Linked DNA regions of Tamandua tetradactyla. The protein of the gene in region 1 purifies or fractionates together with the protein of each later gene. This does not show direct contact. Links are inferred from orthologs where the notes say so. Each region holds a gene or a part of one and is shown on either strand. Other genes may lie near its edges.

The links.
Region 2: the proteins of SRPK2 (region 1) and SON purify together in Homo sapiens (affinity purification with mass spectrometry; 4 studies listed by BioGRID and IntAct, with this or other methods). This does not show direct contact. The link is inferred for Tamandua tetradactyla from reciprocal best matches to the Homo sapiens genes SRPK2 and SON.
Region 3: the proteins of SRPK2 (region 1) and DIDO1 purify together in Homo sapiens (affinity purification with mass spectrometry; 3 studies listed by BioGRID and IntAct, with this or other methods). This does not show direct contact. The link is inferred for Tamandua tetradactyla from reciprocal best matches to the Homo sapiens genes SRPK2 and DIDO1.

The regions. Positions count from the first base shown.
Region 1 is NC_135327.1:143,768,621-143,775,456, reverse strand, and holds the start of SRPK2 (SRSF protein kinase 2), read left to right. Parts: upstream 1-3,819; 5' UTR 3,820-3,878; intron 3,879-6,836. UniProt on the Homo sapiens protein: Serine/arginine-rich protein-specific kinase which specifically phosphorylates its substrates at serine residues located in regions rich in arginine/serine dipeptides, known as RS domains and is involved in the phosphorylation of SR splicing factors and the regulation of splicing.
Region 2 is NC_135336.1:93,913,187-93,920,834, forward strand, and holds the start of SON (protein SON), read left to right. Parts: upstream 1-4,631; 5' UTR 4,632-4,712; coding exon 4,713-4,789; intron 4,790-7,648. UniProt on the Homo sapiens protein: RNA-binding protein that acts as a mRNA splicing cofactor by promoting efficient splicing of transcripts that possess weak splice sites.
Region 3 is NC_135327.1:60,503,320-60,510,534, forward strand, and holds the start of DIDO1 (death-inducer obliterator 1), read right to left. Parts: upstream 3,018-7,215; 5' UTR 2,892-3,017; intron 2,882-2,891; exon of another isoform or gene 2,656-2,881; intron 1-2,655. Other genes in the region: GID8 (glucose-induced degradation protein 8 homolog), read left to right, coding at 6,103-6,220. UniProt on the Homo sapiens protein: Putative transcription factor, weakly pro-apoptotic when overexpressed. Tumor suppressor. Required for early embryonic stem cell development.

The sequences.
Region 1 (6,836 bases):
GTAAAGAGGTTGGGGTTATTAGATCTTATGGGTTTAAAGGATGAAGCTGAGACTCAGATCTTTGAGGAGGAGGTGCTGACCTGCGTTGATGGTTCCTCTAACGGGACACAATGAGACTGATTTGGGTTGTACAATAAAATTTGAGGCTGGAACCAACTTGCCAAGGTAAATGGCCATAATTGAGATAATGTTGACAAAAAAGCAAGCAAAGAGGAAGGAGCAAGTCCCTTCCGTCCTTTTCAGCCTCTCAGTTTTCTTCTAGTGCCCAGCTTGTAGAACTAATGGGAACCCAATAGTTAGCCAAGTCATAGCCCCAGCATTACAAAGCTGAGAATACAAGGGTGGGTTTGGGGCTAAGAGAGAGTAATTTAATAAATGGCACTAATGGATTTTTAAAATGTGATATATTCAAGTATTGGAATGCTATACAGGAATGAGAATAAGCAAAACATGACTAAATACAGCAAACAACATGAATAAGCTTAACTTTGAGCAAAAGAAGCCAAATAAAATCTTAAATTTCATTTGATATATTAGCCCTAAGTGAAAATGGTTTATTAATGAGGAGAAGTGCTTTATTAATACATTAGTGAACAATGCTCTGAGCAAGCAGATCCTGTCTATTATTTTGTTTTTCACAGAAAATTATTTAGGTCCCTCTCCAAACCCACACTCGAGCCTCATATTAAGGAACACTTTTGGAATGAAACCTCTATTCCCACTTCCCCATTCAAACTTTTGAATAAACATTTTTTTTTTCAAATACCAAAAAACACAAAGGAAATGCAAACATCCTTATTTTGATCATTCCGTTCTACATATAAATCAGTACGAATAAACATTTTTTAAAAGTGGGGGAAGAAGAGCAGGAAATGGCAGTCAGTTCTGATTTTCCTTGTTTTGTAATATAAAAATATATCCACATTTACCTTTAGATATTAGCTAGGCCCACCCAACTCAGGTTGATCAAACACCAAAAACCCCTCCAATGCTTGTTTTGATTGTAATAGCTCTAGTTTCTAATAAATAAACATTAAGGAGAACAATGTTATAAAACTTCAAAAAGATAGCTACCTCCTTTTTCTAAGAGAATGTAGTGTTTGTGCACTTTAGGGCTGTCAATTTACGGTTGTTTTCTCCAAGACTTGCCTCAACACATTTTACTACCTTAATCCAATCCTGATTTAGGACACAACTCCGTGTTCTCAGTGTCATATCGCATCACTGTGTTAACATAATTCTAGCTTTATTGTAATGGATCTTGTGCTGGTCTGAATCTGTGGTGGACCCCAGAAAAGCCATGCCCTTTGATCCTCATTCAATATTGCTGGGTGGGGGCATTTTGATTGTTTCCATGAAGATGTGACCCACCCAATTGTGGGTGGTAATTTTTGATTAGATGATTTCCATGGAGGTGTGTCTCCACCCACTGATGGTGGAGTTGCTTGCTGGAATCCTTTTAAAGAGGAAACACTTTGGAGAGTCCCTTTTTGGTAGAGCCAGGAGAATAAGCTAGCAGATGACACCGTGTTCACCATGTGCCCTTCCAGATGAGAGAGAAACTCTGACTGTGTTCGCCATGTGCCCTTTCACTTGAGAGAGAAACTGTGAACTTCATCGGCCTTCTTGAACCAAGACGTCTTTCCCTGGATGCCTTCGATTGGACATTTCTATAGACTTGTTTTAATTGGAACATTTTCACAGCCTTAGAACTGTAAACTAGCAACTTATTAAATTCCCCTTTTTAAAAGCCATTCTGTTTCTGGTATATTGCATTCTGGTAGCTAGCAAACTAGAAGAGATCTGAACATTTTTTAAGATCATGAATTTGAAATTAGAAGGGAGAGAATTAAATGATACATTTTCAGCAATATTTTGAAGAAAGGATGAGGTTTTATCAAGGTAGCTTTCCCTCTGGCTTTTTTTTTTTTTCCTTAACACAGTCTTCTACCTTCAACATTATACATGAACTTTCCAGTTTGGTAAGTTTTTACTTTTTCCAGTGTGGCACACTATGTGGCATTATGTGTTTGAAAGGACACTAATTCACAATTTAGATCAACATCATGAAGGTGAACACAGCTGATGTCCTTCTTACTGTTTCCCTCCAGCTGCTCCCTAGAAGCTTTAGGATAAAATTTGTTCAACCACACTGTTTAAATAGTAGTCGTGCTGGACAGAAGCACAAAGTTGGAACAGCACCCAGACAAGATACAGGAGAGAAACACACAGCTCTGAGCACAGGTGAGTGGGTACACCAGGTGTGTTGTTTCTGGTGCTGTATTTTACTGCTTACATGTCAAATCAGTTTGTCAGAACACAAAAATGAGCCTGTGGTTTAGCAACCTAAAATACTAGAGTGCTCAGAGATGGAAAGACAGTATAGCAACATGGGTTCAGAACTCCAATAGAAACCGAATGATGAATATCCACTCCATATTTGGTCTCCCTTGTCAATCTATCATTTTCAGCCTCCCTCCTCCCTTGTCATATATATATATATATATATATATATATATATATAGTCATATATGTTATTCTAGCAAAAAAAAAAAACACATTAATTTTGATGCCTGGAAACATTGACTTAAGTTTTGCTGAAGGACTTGAAGCTAATAAAGGTTCTTTTTTCAGTCTCTGAGACTGGGTGCTAAGTGATATAAAGACGATTTATTCAGCAACACCAGCTGAGCAACTCTGGGGTGCCAGATTCGGTGGGGCACATTAGTGAGCTGGATGGACCTGACTTATTGTACTGAGGAAGGCCTATTTTTCTCCCTTTGATTTCTCAAGTCTGGGTGGTGAAAAGGTAGGGGCTGGGTGTTATACTGCCCCAGGTTTTTAAGGAACCAAACAAAATGTGAAGAGAACTGGGGATAACTTAACTGGGAAGCTACTTTATTTGCTAATAAGGGAGGTGGAAGAATCACTTCTCTCTGTTTTGTTCTGCCAAGGATTTCATCTCAGAGCTGTTGCACAATAGAGATACAAACCTAAGTTTCTAACATGTTCCATGTTTTTGTTCGTTTGTTTAACTGTGAACAAAAACATATTCAGCTTATTTCTATATTTTATACTGGATTTTTTCCACAGCCACAGTAAAATAAGAAGCCAAATTGTTACACTCAGAGAGTTCAAGTATTTGAGAACTGAGACTCTATCATGGCTACATCCATGTCTAAATGTTTGGAAGGAATGTCACCCTAGGTGGGACAATTCAGCATAGTTTATTATGTCCGGGCCATCTGATCTATTTAGATACATGTTGACATATTTGTCAATATTCTAAATCCATCCTAATCCAGCCCTTGGGAAATCTTCAGGAGTCATTTTTCAGCTGGCTTATATAAGACTCTTAAATACAGGAGGCATTTTATTTATAACAGATTTATTACAGTTGATGATTTTCTCAAGCTAGGATATCTAGTCCACATTCCCTTTTCTTAAGTATGAATGTTAAACGGAAATTACCTTTCATTTCTATGGTTTAAACAAATGGTAGAAGGAGCGGTTTTCCCAAGGATTCTCACTATAACTTGTAAAGCAGAGGCACTTAAAAGAAACAAAGAATGACCCCTTGTGGTGATTTGAAAATATGTTCACACATCCTTTGATAATCCTCCAGTCGAGAGGTGGAGCTTAATTCTCCTCCTTTGAGCACACACTGTACTTAGTTACTTATTTCTAAGGAATAGAATGTGGCAGAAATGATGGAATGTGACTTCACGCGTAGGTCATAAAAGATCATACAACTTCTGTTTGTTCTCTCTTGGGTGACTCACTCTGGGGGAAGCCATCTGCCATGCCATGAGAACACTCCGGCAGTCCCATGGAGAAGTCCTGGTGGTGAGGAACTGAGGCTTCCTGCCTATACACATGTGAGTGAGCTGTCTTTGTAGCAGGGCTTCCAGCCTCAGTTAAGGCTTCAGGTGATAGTAGCTTGAGCTGATACCCTTTTTTTTTTTTTTAAATATTTAAAATGAGTTTTTAATTTCAGAGTAGTTTCATATTTACAAAGAAGTCACAAAGATAGTCCCTCACACCCAGTTTCCCCGAATATTAATATATGACCCTGGTATAATACCTTTGTCACAATTAATGAACCAATATGGATACATTACTAATCTTTATTCTCTTTTCATCGGTTTTGATCTAATGTCTTTTTTTCTATCCCAGGACATTCAGGAGATCACATTACATTTAGTTGTCATGTCTCCTTAGGCTCCTGTTGGACGTGATAATTTTTCAGACTTTCCATGTTTTGCATAATAACTTAAAAATTTTTTTTGTTTTACTTTGAAATAAATTCAAATTTACAGGACAGTTGCAAAAATTATACAAAACCCATACAGAGAACTCCAACATACCCTCATCCAGACACCCAGATCTACCAACTTCTAACATTTTTCCACATTTGTCATGTCATTCTGTCTTTACCTATCTATATATCTATCCATCCATCCATCTATCTATTTAGGTTGTAGGTTGTATCCCAGATGACATTTTGACTCTTCAGCTAAGCTATTCTCAAATTCCTGGACCAGAAACTGAGACAATTTTTTTGTTATTTTAGGCTGCTAAATTCGGGGGTAAGTTTTTACGCAGCAATAGATAATACATCCCTAATATGTATATTTATGTGTACATATATGGACAGCTAATATTTATTGAAAACTTAGTTTCAATAAAGTTGAAAACTATGGACTTGTTCTAGTTTGCTAGCTTCCGGAATGCAATATACCAGAAACAGAATGGCTTTTAAAAAGGGGGATTTAATAAGTTAAGAGTTTACAGTTCTAACGCTGAGAAAATGTCCCAATTAAAACAAGTCCATAGAAATGTCCAATCTAAGGCATCCAGGGAAAGATATCTAGATTCAAGAAGGCTGATGAAAGTCATGGTTTCTTTCTCAAGTGGAAGGGCACATGGCAAACATGGTCTGGGTACATTTATCATCTGGAAGGGCATATAGCAAACACAGCATCATCTGCTAGCTTTTTCTCCTTGCTTCCTGTTTCATGAAGCTCCCTGGGAGACATTTTCCTTCTTCATCTCCAAAAGTTGCTGGCTGGTAGACTCTGATTCTCAGGGCTATGTCGTTCTTCTCTGCTCTCTCTGAATCGCTCTCATTCTTCAAAATGTTTCCTCTTTTATAGGACTTCAGAAACCAATCAAGACCACCCAATGGGTGGAGACATGTCATCACCTAATTCAGCTTAACAACTACTCTTGATTAAATCACATCTCCAGGGAGATGTTCTGATTACAGCTTCAAACATACAGTATTGAACAGGGATTATTCTAACTTTATGAAATGGGATTTTGATTAAACATGGCTTTTCTAGGGAACATATATCCTTTCAACCAGCACATTATCTAAGCATTTTTATGTGAAATAACTCATTTCTCGTAACAAACTTCAAGGTAGGCAATATTATTATCTGAATTTTGCAGATTGGGCAGCTGAGACATAGAGAGACTGAGTTACTTGTCCAAGATTACTGCAACTTGGCAATGAAGAACTAGAGTGTGAACTCTGGCAGTCAAGCTCTACTACTTTACACTAACTGCTACATTACACTGCTATTGCAATGATGCTAGTGCCACTGAGAAATACCCTATGATGAGAAAACAATTGACAGGTTTAAGCTTCATAGTAAAAGTACAGATTAGATATAAGGAAACTTTCCTAAAACCTGATAATCTCAGAGGGCATTTAAAAGGAGGCTAATTTTCATATTTCTTTCCTAGTTTAAAGAACTAAAATCTTGTCAGCAAGACTGCTTTAAGGTCTTTAATTAAATGTCACCTCAGGGACACCTTCCTTGATCACCTTATACAAACCCTTCCTAAAAGGTCTGTTTTATTTTTCTACCTAGAAGTCATTACCGTCTAGTAAAAACAGTATATATTTCACATATTTATTTTGTTTATTGCCTGTTTCCTGTGAGTAGAATGTAAGCTCCATGAGAACAGGAAGATTTGGATATCTTTTGTTCACTGGTGTAGACTCAGTGCCTACAATAATGCCTTTGATAAGTATTTGTTGAAAAATGAGTGCAAAAGATCAAGCAAGTAGATTGGTGTATGTCTCGCTCAACTAAGGTCAATAATTATCTATTGAATATGTTATTTGATTATAATAATGACCTCTGAGGACTGGTATTAAGTAACTTGCCTAAGGTTTTGCAGAAATTAAATGGCAGAAACCAGTTTCAACACTGTGTTAAGGGAAAGAAGTTAGTCACAAAAGGCCACATGTGTAATTCCATTTATATGAAGTGAACAGAATAGGCAAGTCCATAGAGACTGAAAGCAGATTAATGCTTACCTAGTTTGGGAGGAAATGGGGAGCTATGCTAGTGGGTGTGAAGTTTCTTATAGAGGGGTTAAAAATATTAAAAAATTAGATTGTTGGTGATGGTTACAAAACTTTGTGACTATACTAAAAAACTTTTAAATTGTATACTATAAAAATAGATGAATTGTACGGTATATGAATTATATCACATTAAAGTTGCTAAAAGAAAAAATTAAAGAAACCAGTTTCAAACTCAGATCTCTTTGGCTTCAAAATGTTAAGAAAGAACCCCAACTGAAGAAACGGCTGGTTCTGAGATTGAGTTAGGGAATGCACAGTTTCCTGGAACATCTTGTGTTAAAAAGTAAAGAGGTGATCAAAAACTGATAGGGAGGGCAGGCCATGGTGGCTCAGCAGGCAGAGTTCTCACCCGCCATGCAGGAGACCCAGGTTTGATTCGTGGTGCCTGCCCATGCAAAACCAACAACAACTGTTAGGGAGGGCATATTTAACATCCTCTGGTTGAGGCAGCGTC
Region 2 (7,648 bases), on another chromosome or scaffold:
TCACAACTATTACATGCCATTAGGATACTAGGCACTGTGGACACAAAGCAAAATAAGAGAGGTAGTTCTGTCCTCATGCAGCTTACATTCTCATGGGGAAATGGGAGATAGGAAACAAGTAAGAAAACAAATAGTAAAAATAAATACAGACAGTGGTTCAGGAAGGAAAACCAATGAAATGGGGTGGAGACTTGTTTAGTTGGAAACTTTAGGAAAGGCCTCCTTAAGAAGGTAATATTTAAGTTGCGACTTGAATAATGAGGCATTAACCATGCCAGTGGGTAGGAACAGATGCCAGTCCAACGCAGCTCTGTTGGGGAAATTGGCTTGACAGTAGGGATCGAGCACAGTGAAAAGAAAAAAAAAGGACATAAACGATCAGGCTACAAAGGCAGGCCGAAGCCAGATCCCAAAAGGCTTTGTATGGAACCAAAGGAATTAGGGTTTTATTCTAAGGGCTAAGGGAAGCTACTCAAGAGTTTAGGGTAATACATGAACTGATCATTTTTCCAGCAGAAGAAACAAAGGCTGAGATCTATTATGGAGTTACAATTGCCAGGACTTACATTTGACAGCACTGTCCATCTCTGCATTAATGATGTGATCGAAATATACATCAACATGTTTTTAATCTATATTAGGCACTTATTAATTTCTCAGTGGATATATTTTATAAGGCATAGGCCTAAAATAATTTCAGATAAGGAAATGTAGCATTTAGAATAGGACACCTCATTTCTACTATAGGGAAGTATTCAAATGACCACATAAATTCTGAGTTTAGAAAAGCAATTCAGACAAAACGAAGAACTTGAACAGCAACCTGGATATGGTTATCAGTTTATCGTTAGCAAATAACAGTTACTTCCCACTTTAAAACATGTTACCAGTATTTGAAATCTTTCCAGAGCACGAAGTGCCTGCATTTCCTGGGGCGACCAACACTTGCTTGACGTGGTGAGACTGTGCAAGTTTCCAGGCCAGTGTATGTTCCCTTCCTCCACTGCCAATTATCAGCACACGGGCTGACATGGCTGTCTGCAAAGCAGGAATTCAAAAGGCAAATGAAAACTGCAGAAAGAAAACCAGAGCTAACATTCAGAATGCACACACTTTAGAAATCATAAAATTTCTAAATCTGATGTTAAGTAGTAGTTTGTACTCACAAAAATGACATTTTAGTCCAGAGATTCATTTTTGAATAAAAAATTGGGAGGTGAGATAAATGACAGTACTAACAACTGCAAAGGAAGTATTTTAAAAATGAGATAGACTGGCCTAACGAACTTAAGTTAGGGAGTGAAATGGGGTTTTACCTCCTTACCTAAGAACAATCTTACTTCTTCGGGATTCAATTTTAGAAAATTTAATAATCATCAAGCCACAGTTTAGAAAAACAAATGTTGATATTTTAGACACAAAATTTAAAAACCATTTTTAACCCTCGAAATCTTCCAATAGTTATCATTGACAGAAAAATATTTAAGACTGGAGTAGGCAAACTTTTTCTGCAAAGGGCCAGTAGTGAATATTTTCAGGTTTAGGGGCTGTAAGGTCTTTGTTCAACTACTCAACTCTACTATGGTATCATAAAAGTAGTCTTAGCCTTAAGTAAATGAACAAGCATGGCTATGCTCCCCTAGAACTTAATTCTACATAAACAGGCAAGCCAAAATGAGGTTGTAGTTTACCTATTCTGGCTCTAAGCAATGGGAAGCCATCAGAAATTAAAAACGAATAATCAAGACTGTTTCAATAAAACTTTACTTATGGACTCTGAAATTTGAATTTCATGTGTCATTAAAATCAACATTCTTTTCTTCTAATCATTTAAAGATGTAAAAACCATTTTGAGCTTGACGGCTGTACAAAAAGGTTGGTGGACAGGACTTCTCACCTGAGTCATAGTTTGCTGACCCATGATTTAAGAAATTAGTGCTATATGTTAGGAAATTGGCAGAGAAGGCAAAAATCAAATTTGAACCCCTTTCACTTCAGTTATCTGCCCAGAATGGACATGAACGCTCCCTTCTCTACTCCAGGGAGTGACACTGGCTAAGCTCTATCTGTAATTGTTTCCTCACATCTTAAAGGACAGCAATTACGACAACTTGCCTTACAATGCTATATAAGGATTTAATTGAAATGACATGTATAATCAAATTAGTATAATCTCTGGCACTCAGCAACACAGAATTGTGGCACTGTATTTTTTCTGAAGCCATTTAATTATGCAGAAGGCAAATTCATATCAGAAAAACAGAAAACTGAAATCAACTTACTATGATATGCTAAAATTATATATCTACAGAAAAATCTAAGTTGATACTATAAAAACTAATATTTTCTTGTGTGCATTTACCACGTGTCAGGCACTATTATAAATGCTTTTCATGAATTACCTCACGTCAATTTCACAAGGTTTATATGAGGTAACCATTAGCATCTTCATTCTACAGATGAGGAACTGCGAGGTTCAGTGAGGGTAAGTAATCTATAGAGGACACACAAATTAAGGATTGAAGCCTGGAAACCAACTGAAGCAAAGTTTAAAAACATTTTTATTGTGGTAATATAGTTAACATAATATTTTCCATTTTAACCAATTTTAAGTGTAGAACCTGCGGCACTAATTACACTTAAAATTTTATGCTACCATAACCATCATACATTATCAGAAGTTTGTTGTCACCCAAAACAGAAACTCCACATTCCCCTGGTAACCTCAAATCTACTTCCTGTCTTTATGAATTGGCAAATTCTAGATATTTCATGTAAGTGCAACCATACAACGTCTGTTTTTTGAGTGTATGGCTTGTTTCATTTAACACGATTTCTAGACTCATTCAGGAAATTTAAGCAATTTTGCTTCAGATGCTCTAACAACTGAGATGGTGACCACTGAAAATTTGAGGAAGAAAAATTCTATATTATAGTTTCAGAAGGAGAGAAAAGTAATTTTAGTTTAATGGAAAACATTGACATTTCACTTGCCACATATAATAAGACATCTGAAATAAACATGTATTTAAATCTAGATAAAATATCATATTTAGTTTAAATGAGAGATGCAGTGAAGGAAAACTTTGCTAGTTACTAAAAAGTTGGTCACTGAAACAGCCTGATTCCAGAGTCAAGGGTATATACCTCGATTTGGGTTGAACTTCTGCCCCTTCCTACCTGGGAGACGTGAGTGACTTAAATAAGCAAGATTCTTGAGTCTCAGTCACCTTATATCTAAAATAGAAACTTACTAGAAGAGAAGAGTAAGAGAGCTAGGAAGTTATTGCATAGGATCTGACAAATATTACAAAGAAGAAACCAATTACATAGGTAGAGTAAATAATCACTAGTGTACATAACGGGGAAATACGGCAAAAAACATCAACTTACTCTTATGGCCTAAAAAAAGCATAAAGACACAAAAAGATAAAGCCCTCACATCGCAGAAAGTAGGAAAAGTGATAGATCAAATGTAAACCTCTGTTAATAGTAATAAGTGAAAAGCACATGGCCAGACCCACCCAATGCATTTTTTTAACAATGCGTTTTAAAATGATGAAAACGTCTACAGCCAAGCCAGTTTCTACAGCTTCACTTCTTAATAGTAAATTTCCAAATCAAAGCACAAGTGCAGTTTACCTAAAAACGGAGTGAGCTTACGCACCGACACAAAAACGTCCCGCGCTGCCGCCTCGCACACTCGCCGGCGTGCTGAGCCCGGGCGCACGCCGTGGCGGAAGTTGGCGGAGCAGGATCCGCCCCGCGCGCTCCCCCGCCCCGCCTCGCCCCTCTTGGTCGGCCAGGCCCAGGGTCCCCAGTGCAAGGTAATCAAGTGTGGTCCCCTCCCTCGGGCGCGGCCTAAGCTCTGACCAATGCCACCAAGCCATCACAGGCTTATCATGTAATACTGTAACATTGAGTGCCACGTAACGTCTCCATTCCTCTCCGAGTGCCTCCTGAGGTCTGAGGAGGGGAAACCTCCTGAACGCTAAACCAATGAGTAGCTCACTGTATGTTGCTATCGAGAGTCTGGACTGCCCAGTTACCGCGAAGTCTCGTCACACTGACTCCTAACGAGGCTGGAATGTATCAGACTCTAAAAACAGGTAGCTCAGGACCTCTGCCCTATTGCTAAGAAATTGAGGCCGATTATAGCATGCAACGAGAGAGAGTCGGGGTAAAAACACGTTCTAATCATGCTTCAGGGGGGTGGGGGCTGAGTAGTTCTTTCCCGGATGTATCCTTCTGACAGAACTGAACTTGGCGCCCCCGTGACGCTTGGAGGCCCTTTGTCAAGAACACTGTATTGCTTTTTGTTCCTCCATTTCACTGCCATAAATTTCGGGCGTTCAGTCGCTACACGAGGCCTATTAAGCCCACTAAAGAATAATGGGACTGACAACCTCAGCCGACACATTCGCCTCAAAACAGGCTTCTCCTGTAATGGCGCCTGCGTCAGACACTAACATGGCGGACGCGATCGTGCGCGGCGCAAACGTCAGCAGCTCTACCCCAGCCGCTCAGAAACAGTGGAGGAGAGCGGAGCCGTGCTCGTTCATTGGCTCTGCGTCGGAGCGCGCCCGTCTGGACGCTCCCACAGGAGCCAATCAGAGGGGCGAGAGACGGAACTGGCCGCTGCGCCGCTTCCCGAGGCATGCTGGGAGCCTGGAGGACTAGCGAGGAGGAGTTGAGAGAACGGAGCGGACGCCATGGCGACCAACATCGAGCAGATCTTTAGGTCTTTCGTGGTCAGTAAATTCCGGGAAATTCAACAGGAGCTGTCCAGGTAAACGCTTCCCAGACTTTTCTGTTCCAAAGGGACCGCTAGGGCCCGATGTAGCTTTTCACGGCACCTTTCTTCAGAGACGCCGTCGTTCGTCTGCTCAGGCGCCGCTACGGCCCCGCCTGGGCCTGGGATCCATTTTCCGCCGCCCCCCCATCCCGTCTCTCCTTTTCCCGCGGGGAACTTCACCCTTTCTTAGGTATCCTTAGACTCCTTCGTCGAGAGCCCTGTTAAGATGTTCGCTCTTCTCTTTGGGTTGGTCATCCCTTACCCTTTAGCAACTTGGAGGCCGGGTTGTCCACTAGGGACGGGCCTAGTTTTTTTCTCAGCTCCTCCTCCGCTGCCGCGTTTCCCCTCCCCCTCTCCGCCGATTTCGCCAGCCGGTGTCTAGGACCGGAAAGGGTCTCTAACGGCCGTTTTTTGGTTTATCTTAAATCCACGTTATTATTTCAAGCTTCGGACCGTTTAGGGGCCGGGATGCACTAGTTAGGTTATACGGACCTTAGTGTCCTGTGGCTTCCACCAGGCAACAGGGGATAGAGATCTACATTAAAATAGCTCAGATTAGTTCGTTAGCTATTTTGTCAAAATATCCGGGACGAGGGTGGTTAGGGGACTTTGAAATACCAGTAATTTCTTAAATTTTAGCGAATTGCAGGCAGGTTTTGTGTGTAGATTTAGTTTTTCTTACTACTCCATTCTTGTTGACATATTTGACCTACGCGGTGCTTTGCAATTGCCGTTTAGACTTTAATTGCACTTGGTTTCACGAAATTTGAAGGGTAAGCGATTTCCAGAGAAGTGGTTGTTTATTCAGAGAGGAAAACAGCGTGGGTCATGTTCAGTGGTTGTCTTTTAATACTTTCGCTTTGTATAAAATACTTATTTTTTCAAAGTATAGTTGTGGAAAGATCTTGAATAGTTGTTCTGAGTGTATTTTTGCTAATTATATTTCTAAGGTTGAGAACAAGAGCAGTATGTGAATTTGAAAATCGGCCAAAAACGTAACTGTAAATTAAGTGCCCAGATGAATTTAGGATTATTGAGGCTGTTTTTATTTTTGCAGAATTATATTGTTTTTAAAGTGAAAATGTGTCTATTCATAACACTGCGTCTTAAGTGGTATTCTTAGGATGAGGAGAGAAGAGGACCTAAGGAAATAGAATTTCAATAACTTTTTATAGTAGCATACAATAAGTCCTTGTGTTTCCTTAGTTTAATTGGTCGTTTTTGTAGTTTTAAAAAAGTCAGTTTTTCTATTGGAATGTGTTTTATTGTAGAAAATTGAGAAAACAAATGAGAAAGTGAAAATCGCATAGTTATTTCTGTTCTTTCATTTTTTCCTTTCCATATATATAAAGATATATTTGTTTTGAGAAGTCCCATCATCTTGAATTGTGGGTTTTTCATCTAGTGAATTGTGAACAAGTTTCTCCTTTATCACAGTCTCAGTATTTTGCAACATTTTTCATCACTGCATAGAATTGTGTTGTAGGGATATATTGTTGGGTATTTAGTTGTTCAAGATTTTCATGAGTTCAAAGTAATTGCAGTTAACATCCTGGTATCTTTCTCTTTGACACTGTCATGGTTATTTCCGTATAGACTGACCCCATCCTATTTTTTTTTGTTTGTTTAAGTGTTGCGTTCTCTGATTTTTAGATCCTGGTAATTGCGTATAAATACTTGGGCATAGTGTGAAATTAAGTGATTCGGGAAGAAAGAAAGCATTTTGTTATTAGAGGAATATGCAGTTTCCACTCAAACAACATGTATTGCATTATCAGTCTAAAAACGAATTTTGGATTATTTGCCATTTCACTGGGTCCCCCACTCCATCTGCTTTTACATGCATCCTGTAGGTAATGAGACTGACATGAAGATACTTCAGATATGCTCTGTTATTATTCTAGAGAGACAGTGGCTAAGAGTCAGCCCTGGTTTTGAATACCAACTTCACCTTTGAAAGTCGTGTGACCTTTGGTCAAATTTCTCCTCTCATTTTCTTCATTTCTCACATCAGGAGAATGCTGGTCTTCGAGGTTTGTTAGGGTTAAATGAGTTTAAAAATGTAGAACAGCGAGATACATCCTACTTAGCAGTCAGTAAATGTTAATTATTATTATTACATGATTTATTATTTTGGAAAACCAAATGTTCCTTAACATCTAATTACCTACTGATATTTTGTATTTTTTGATTCAGGACTTTTGTCAGGTATAGAAGCATAATTGTTTTATTTTTAACTAAAATTGAAGTTAAATAAATATTGAAAGTGTTGAAACTATTTGATTTTTCACAATTGTGTAAATTTACACAAATGGTAAAAATGGCTAGGTAAATGGCATATTCTTAGGGCAAAATGCCCTTTGGCCCTTAGATTGAAAACATAAACCCATTTGCTGTTAGTCTAATTAATCGTCATTTGTTTTATGTGACTTTTAAACACCATTATTATTTTTTTAATGCCAGGATTTTTGATAATTGGGTGAAAGTTAAATGTATTTATTTTTCTTTTTAAACTTCCTGGCATTTCAGAAACAGTTTAAACCTAACCAAAGACTGTAAGTAAGTCACCCTTTTTACTCAGTGTGCCCATGACCAACTTTGTGTTTCATGATGTTGGTGGTGATTGTGATTCATGCACAGGTGTGGCTTTATTGTTGTGATAGTTTTTAGTGTGATGTTCAAAAGTTAATATTTTTCTTTGAACTTTTGATTTGGCTTTTAATAATTTTTCTCCCTTGATAGAAATAGACAGGTAAACCAAAAGCCTCAGTGTAGATTTCTAGGGGTTTTGTATTTAAAAAAATAGGTGAACCTAGAAACTTTTTAAATTACTTTTTCTTAACTTTCAGAGTT
Region 3 (7,215 bases), about 83 Mb from region 1:
AAGAGGTATAAAATCAGGCAAATGTGGGGCGACAGGGCAGACAATTAAAAAAATCCCCTCTGAACTTGCGTTACAGCGCCTCAGTTCAGCAGACATGTGATTATGTGCAGCAGAACTAAATAACAAAAAATTCTTCACTTCTAACATCCTCATAAAGAAATTTTTTGAATATTGTGAAAAGAGAAGTCTATGAACACTGATTTCTAGGTATCTACTACCTAGCTGTGCCAAGGGTACTGAGCACGGACAACTGATTGATTCATATATTATCCTTAAGAATAAAACTATTTGCTTTTGCCAAAACCCTTTGAAAACTAGAGGCCTCAGAACTTTGGGTTTTGATTTTTATACGTTTGTATTTTAAGAGTGAAACAAAAACATCTAGTGAAATAATGTGGTTCTGAAAAACATGATTGATAATCCTGGGTTTCAAACATTCTACGATTTCAGTAAAGGAAGGACTATGTATTTTATCCTCAAAATAAAATTCTCAAAATGCTTTTCCCTTTTTAATGTTCTTTTAAAACCTCATTAATGTTCTTTGAAAAATAATATGCCTTTAGTATCTCTTTATAGAACTGCTAACCTCTCTCTTAAAAAGAAACAGTTTCTCAAGTTTAAAGCCACCACCTGGGCTTGGAGACGAGTGAGTTCAGACCACCTGGCCAGGTCCTGTGGCCTCACTCTTCCAGACACCACCTCTTCCACATCAGGAAGTGCAGCCAGTTAATCTTGATCCCAGATGGTGACCAATGTGGCCGTGCACCCTCTCCTCTTCCTGGACCCATCTACCTCTTTCCTGCTCTCCCTTACACTTTTCTGTCGGTCATCTCACAGACTCTGCTGCCAGGTCCCAATGGTGATGCTGTTCTTCAGGGCTCCTGCCTAGGCCCCTCTATTCTCATTCTTATATACTAGCCATAGGAAATCTCATTCACACCTTGTTTCGGTTACTTGTTATCTCTCCTGGATCCAGGCCCATCCATGCAGTTCCTTCCCTGACAGCTCCAACTAGATGTTTCAAGTGTCCCCAACACATACAAAACTGAACTAATGATTTCCGACCCTCCCCCACAACCCAGGTCCTTCTCTGGCTTTCCTTCTTCACTGGATAGTTTCACCCTATATACTAAAATGCCCAAGCCGGAGCCTGGAATTATCGTTGATTCCTTCCTTCCTCCTCAGTCATCAAATCCTGTTGCTTAAGTGTGTAATATGGCCTCTTCCACAGGCTCCCATCACTCATTTGCTGCATGGCTCTCCAATCCCTCTTGAAAGTGTGGAACACATTACTCTCTTCCCCTCACCCTCATTCCCCTAACAACTTACTGTAATTTTGATTCTTCCAGTCCCACCCCATCACTCAGTCACCAATAACCATCAAATGGTGAGTTTTGGGTGACTATCAAACTAGATCTCTCTGTTGCATTGGACATTGCTAATCACATCTCCCTGAAACTCACTATGCCCTAAAGCTGTGGGGACATTCGACATTGCTAATCACATCTCCATGAAACTCACTATGCCCTAAAGCTGTGGGGACATTCGACATTGCTAATCACATCTCCATGAAACTCACTATGCCCTAAAGCTGTGAGAACAGCCTTCTAAATTCCTTGGTTCTTCTCTGTCGCCTTAAGGGATTATGGATTTAATTCACTCCTTCTCTTTATGTGCATTCCCAGAACACATTTAACTATTTTAACTCCCACACGATATCACCACAAAACATTCCAGTCCAGCCTGATCTTTTCCCTTGAGCTTTAGATGCGTCCCACAAGCACCTCAAAGTCAGCCCCGCCCACAACGAACTTACCATCTTTCCTTCTCCCCCTACTACATTCCTCATCATGAGCGTTCCCCCTTTTGTATCCTTCTCACTGGGTGCCATCACCCCTGAACTGATCTATCGGGCTGCAGATCTGACCCCTCTCCCTTAGTTTCCACAAACTGTCAATCACCAAGGACTGTTAATTTTCCTTCCTAAGGAGAAAGCAATGTCAAGGCATTTTCTGAGCAAAGTCAGTCTAATATGGCAGACAAGTGTGTAAATGAAGTCTGGTTGTGGGCATTTTCTTTACTTGAATAACCTAATTCTGTAGGTCCAAAGTTTTGACATAAATCAATTTAAAACACACATATGCAGTATATGTCAGCAACTACTTTTATCTACGACATACAAATTTAGTTGCCATCATCGGATAAACAAGGGGTTGCCCGCTCAATACTTCTGTTTCTTTCTAAAGCTCTTCAATCTTTACCTTTACTTTTCAGTAAGGAAAAAAAAACAAGGCCTTGCTCTGACAGAGTTTACATTGTTCTTGAGAAGACATACAATAATGAGTAAATGAACACGCAAATATATACTTATGCCCTCAGCCAGCGCTCATCTCCCGCCACTGCCCTTCTACAACAAATATCCCCGAGAAGAAGCCAGCCAGGCCCGGCTAGGAATACAGTGAGGACTGCGTCGCTCGCTTCTCCAAGGAGGTCTTTCTTCAGCCCCCGCCCCACTCAGCTTCAACTCTAATAGGCCTGGGTCCCTACGTGTCGACGCCGACGGTTCTGCGACCCTGGTGGGAGGACGTGACGAGCGCTGGGTCGTCCCTGCCCGCTCTTGCTTACCCTTCTGGCATCGAGCGAGAACGCGCTTACCAGCATTCGTCGAATAAACTCAATGAATTCAATTTAACACTCATTCAGGAAACCCACGCCCAGTACGGATCTAACAGCGTCTCGCCTGAGCCTCTGGGAAGCAAGCAGTCGAGAAGCGATTCCGTCGGAGGGGCGGTCTTGGAGCGCCTGGCATCTCTCTCCCCATCCACCCCCTGCCCGCCTCCGCGTCCTATTCCCTCTGGCCTGTCACAAAGAACGGGAAAGGACGCGGGCACCTTAGCCTCCGACTCAATCTAGATGTCGCCGTCCCGGCGCGAAGTTTCCACATCACGACGCGTCGGCGGCGGCCATTTTACTAAAAGCGGTCGATACCTTTTGACTCTCGCGCCAGCCCATAGAGCGAGGGCGCCGCACGAGGAGTTCTGCGCAAGAACGGAAGCTGGGGCTCCGCAATTCCGGGCGGCCGCCGCGTCCGGCCCCATCGCGAGAGCGCTTCATTGGTTGCCGCCTCTTGATCTCGCGAGAGGTGGGGGGGCGACCGCCGGTGGTCTACCCTCTTGCTCACGCCCCCACCCCCGCCTCCGCCGCGGCCTCCGCCTACCTCTCCTGAGGCGCCGCTGCCGCTGCCGCCGCCCCCGCCCCCGCGACGCCGCCCCTTCCTCGGCTCGGGCCCAGGCCCCCTGGAGCGGCCGCGGAGCCGCCGCCGAGACCGTGCAGCGCGGGAGGCGGGATCCGCACGGTAAGATGGCCGCGCGGGCCCGGGCAGCTTGATCCCGGGCCGGGAGACGGGCCGGACGGCGGCCTCGCGCCCGGGTGCCTGGGGTGCGTCCCGCGGACCCCGGGACGCCTGGACCGAGCTCACCCCGCGTGGGTCTGGGAGCCGGGCCCACGCAGGGGTCTGGATTTTGGTGCGCGCTCTCGGGAGTGGAGGGCAGTCGTCTTCTGGGTCTGCACGTCAGCTGGCCGTTTCTTCTCGGCCAGAATGTGCTCCAATCTCGACTGTGCTTCGGAGCCGTAATTTAGGCTTTATTCTTAAAGGGAGAACATTTTCGAACGAAGGCTCTATCCTGCGGTCTAACCATTCGCCTTACGAAAATAATAATTAATGGTTGTCCAGAACATATTGAATCTGTCTCCCCGAAGAGAAAGGTTTATACAACAAAACTGTTTTAAAGCAGACACGGCGTAAAATGCCGCCTGGACAGCAAATGTTTGTTGTCCTCGGTGTTTAAGGAATTTATTTTACTGGTTAAGAATTTGTGTTTATTTGTGTTGATTATTTAACTGCTGGAGGTTGAGCTTGCTGAGTTTTTCCCGCGGAAAACAGAACAGGGCAGTTCTTCAGAGTCGTCGTTTTTAAAAAATCGCACTTACCACCTGTGTGTGATACTAGTGTGACTGCCCGTTGCCAAGTGAAAACTGAGAAAAGGTGCCTTTTTTAAATATTGGGCTTCTAATATTGGTTCTAACTCTACCTTTAATTCTATCTGCGAATAAAAATGAGCTCTTACTGAGTTATACAGTTGACCTGGAGGTACGGGGGATGTTTTGTGGTGTCACCGTATTCTCTCGGTTTTACTTCTCACTTGCTGCTCCTTCACATTGTTTTCTTTTGCTGGTGTCTGCTCTGCTTGGAGACACACATTCGCCAAGTCCCCGGGGGGCTTTTGTCTTGTTTCCTCTATCTACTCTTTCTCCTGTGTGATCTTTACAAACTCTAACCTTTATTTCTCTGAGAATGTTTCCCTAATTAATGTTTCCAGCGCTGAGCTCAGGACCTGTGATCCAGGTACCTGCTTTACTTCACCTACATGCCTAATGGTCACCTCAGACTTGTTCCTCTCCTAGTCCTTCCTCCTCATTTGTGGCCCTACCTTCCAGGGTCTCAAACTGGAAACCTCCAAGTCCTTCTCCATTCTTCCCTTTGTCGTATCTCTCCACTCTCAGTCCATCAGCAAGTCCCATTGCCTCAGGGTCCAAAGAATCTTGACTCTAGTCATATCTTTCCTTCTCTTCTGCCAGCATTCTAGTCTAGACAACTATCCTCTCTTGCTTGGATGTCTCCCTTCTGGTCTTCCTGCCCAGTTCTAGGCACCCTATTATGTTCAGTCCGTCGTTGACCAGGAAACCAGAACCGTCTTCTAACTTTTTTGTTTGCTGAAACAATTTGCTATGTGTAATGTCTATAATGTATGTATAAATCACATCTCTGTGGCCTCTGCCATCCCAGTCATCCTCCCACAGGTAACCACCCTTCTGAGATTTATATTGCTTGCTCATACTTAAAAAAAAAGTTTTGCCACATATATATTTGTTCCTAAAGGACATATTAGTTAGTCTTTTTGATTGTTACAAAACTATCATGCCATACTTAGACCTCTGTAACTGACTTTTTTCATTTAGCATGGTTTCTGCAAGTGATGTGTGATTGTTAGTTCATTGTTTTAACTACTCTGTTCAGTTCTGTTGTGTGGATACACAAACTGTAGTTCCTTCTCAGCAATCCTGAAGTCCAAAAGCTCTGAAACCAGAAGTTTTTGGTTTTCTTTTTAACCCATTTGGTGGTAAAACATGACCTGGTTAATAGGCTTTATTCTACCTTCTTTGAATACTTGTACACGTCACTGAAGAAATAATGTTTGATTATAGGGTGCTGCCCCAAATTCTTATGTAATACGCATATGGTAAATTGTGCCATATAAGCTTCCTACCATCTGGAAAAGGCTGATTTCTGAAACAAATCTGTCCCAAGGGTTTAAGACATGGTATTGTATTCTCCCTGTCAGTTCCTTTGTCCAGACTACTGTGGGTGGTTTCCATATTTTGCCTTTTTGAACATTGCTTATGTGAAGAGGCTTGTATCTGTCCCTACTGCAGGTTTGTGAGTTTTTCTAGGGTATAAATGTGGTATAGGTAGAACTACCATGTTATAAGGAATCCACATGTTCATTTTTACCTAAAAATGCCAAGTTGTTTTACACAGTACCAAATAACAGAGATTGAGAGAACTCCAGGCCTTTTCTAATACTTGGTATTGTCCGATTTTTTTGTTGATCTAGTGGGTATACAATTGTTCTCCCTTCATTTTAGAACCTAAGTCATAACATGTAATAATTTAGTTTATAACTCTCTAGTGGCTCCATTTGTACTTAGAGAGACTCTAACCTCCTCTCTCAGACTATGAGGTCTTACTTGATCTGACCTCAGCTGATCTCTCAACTTCCTAGGTCCAAGATCTCTTGGCTCTTCCCACATTCATCCCACCTCCTCAACCCCCTGACCTTCCTCCTGCTGCACAGACACACTTCTGGGTCTTGGGCCCTTTGCATGAGCTGTTTTCCAAAGTTAGAGTATCTTTCCATTCTCTCCCTTTTACTTCTTATGACACGACTCTTGTTATTATTTTCTGAAATAATCACGATTGTTATAGAATTTGTAACTAGTTCTTTAAGATAATATGTTTTTTTCCTGTAGAAATACATCAGAATGAGTTATACAGAAAAACCCGATGAAATCACAAAAGATGAATGGATGGAAAAACTCAATAACTTACATATTCAGCGAGCAGACATGAATCGTCTCATCATGAACTATCTTGTTACAGGTAAGGGTTTATACTAAGGATGTTATTCCTTGAACATAATTTTCCCTCTTCTATACTCTGGTATAGCTTTACCACTGAAGTTCAGTGGTGAGGTTGTGTACAAAAGATATTATAAAAACATAGCAATAACTTCATTTGCACTTTATTGTGTTAAAGATATCCTCTTCAGGACATCAAGTAAGTTTTCTTGGTATCTGAGACCTAAAGAAAAACTTGTTGCTTGACAATTTTTCAGTTATATAATCAAGATCATTAAAAATATTCCGAAGTACATTTAAGTCCCAAATAATTTATCTCTTATGACCAGTCTGGTAAATTATGCTAACCTTTTTTTAGAAGATGTATCCAACTCAAAAAGAGGAAAGGTAGGAGGGCAAAAGTGTATGGAAGGAAACAAAAGTGATCTGTCATCCTAACACTCAGCCCTCACTGGTATTTGGGAGAAAAAAGGGTAATAATATATGTGCTAAGAAAATCCGTGTTTTCAAAAGACATAAAATGAAAAGTAAGTCTCTCTCCTCTTAGTCCTCAGATGGTCTCTGTGAATTAGTACTATTAAAAAAAACTTTTTTTTGTAAGATGATCAGAAAATGTAGACTCATAGCTGTACATGTGTGGAGAGAGGGAGGGAGAGAAAGAGAGAGAAACAGAAGGGGAGAAAGAGAGGGAGGATTGAGTGGAGAGGTGTACACACACTGGCTTGGGTGCTGAGAAGCTTTGTAGAATCACACAGAGGTGGCGGTCACCAGTTTACTGCAGGTAAAATTGGCTTTGGAGGTACAACATGCTTTCTGCTGGCTTATCCAGTTTGTCTAGAATCATTCAGAACCACACCCTCAGTCTTGGGCACCTGTCCCTGTAATTTTAGCCTTCGAGGAGTCACACTAACAACACCGAGCTTTATGCATTCATTCTAAGCCTCTTTGGCTAATATGTTAGGATATTTTTTTGGATGGGGTAGAAAGGAATTAACATGCTTTTTTCATTTGCTGTAT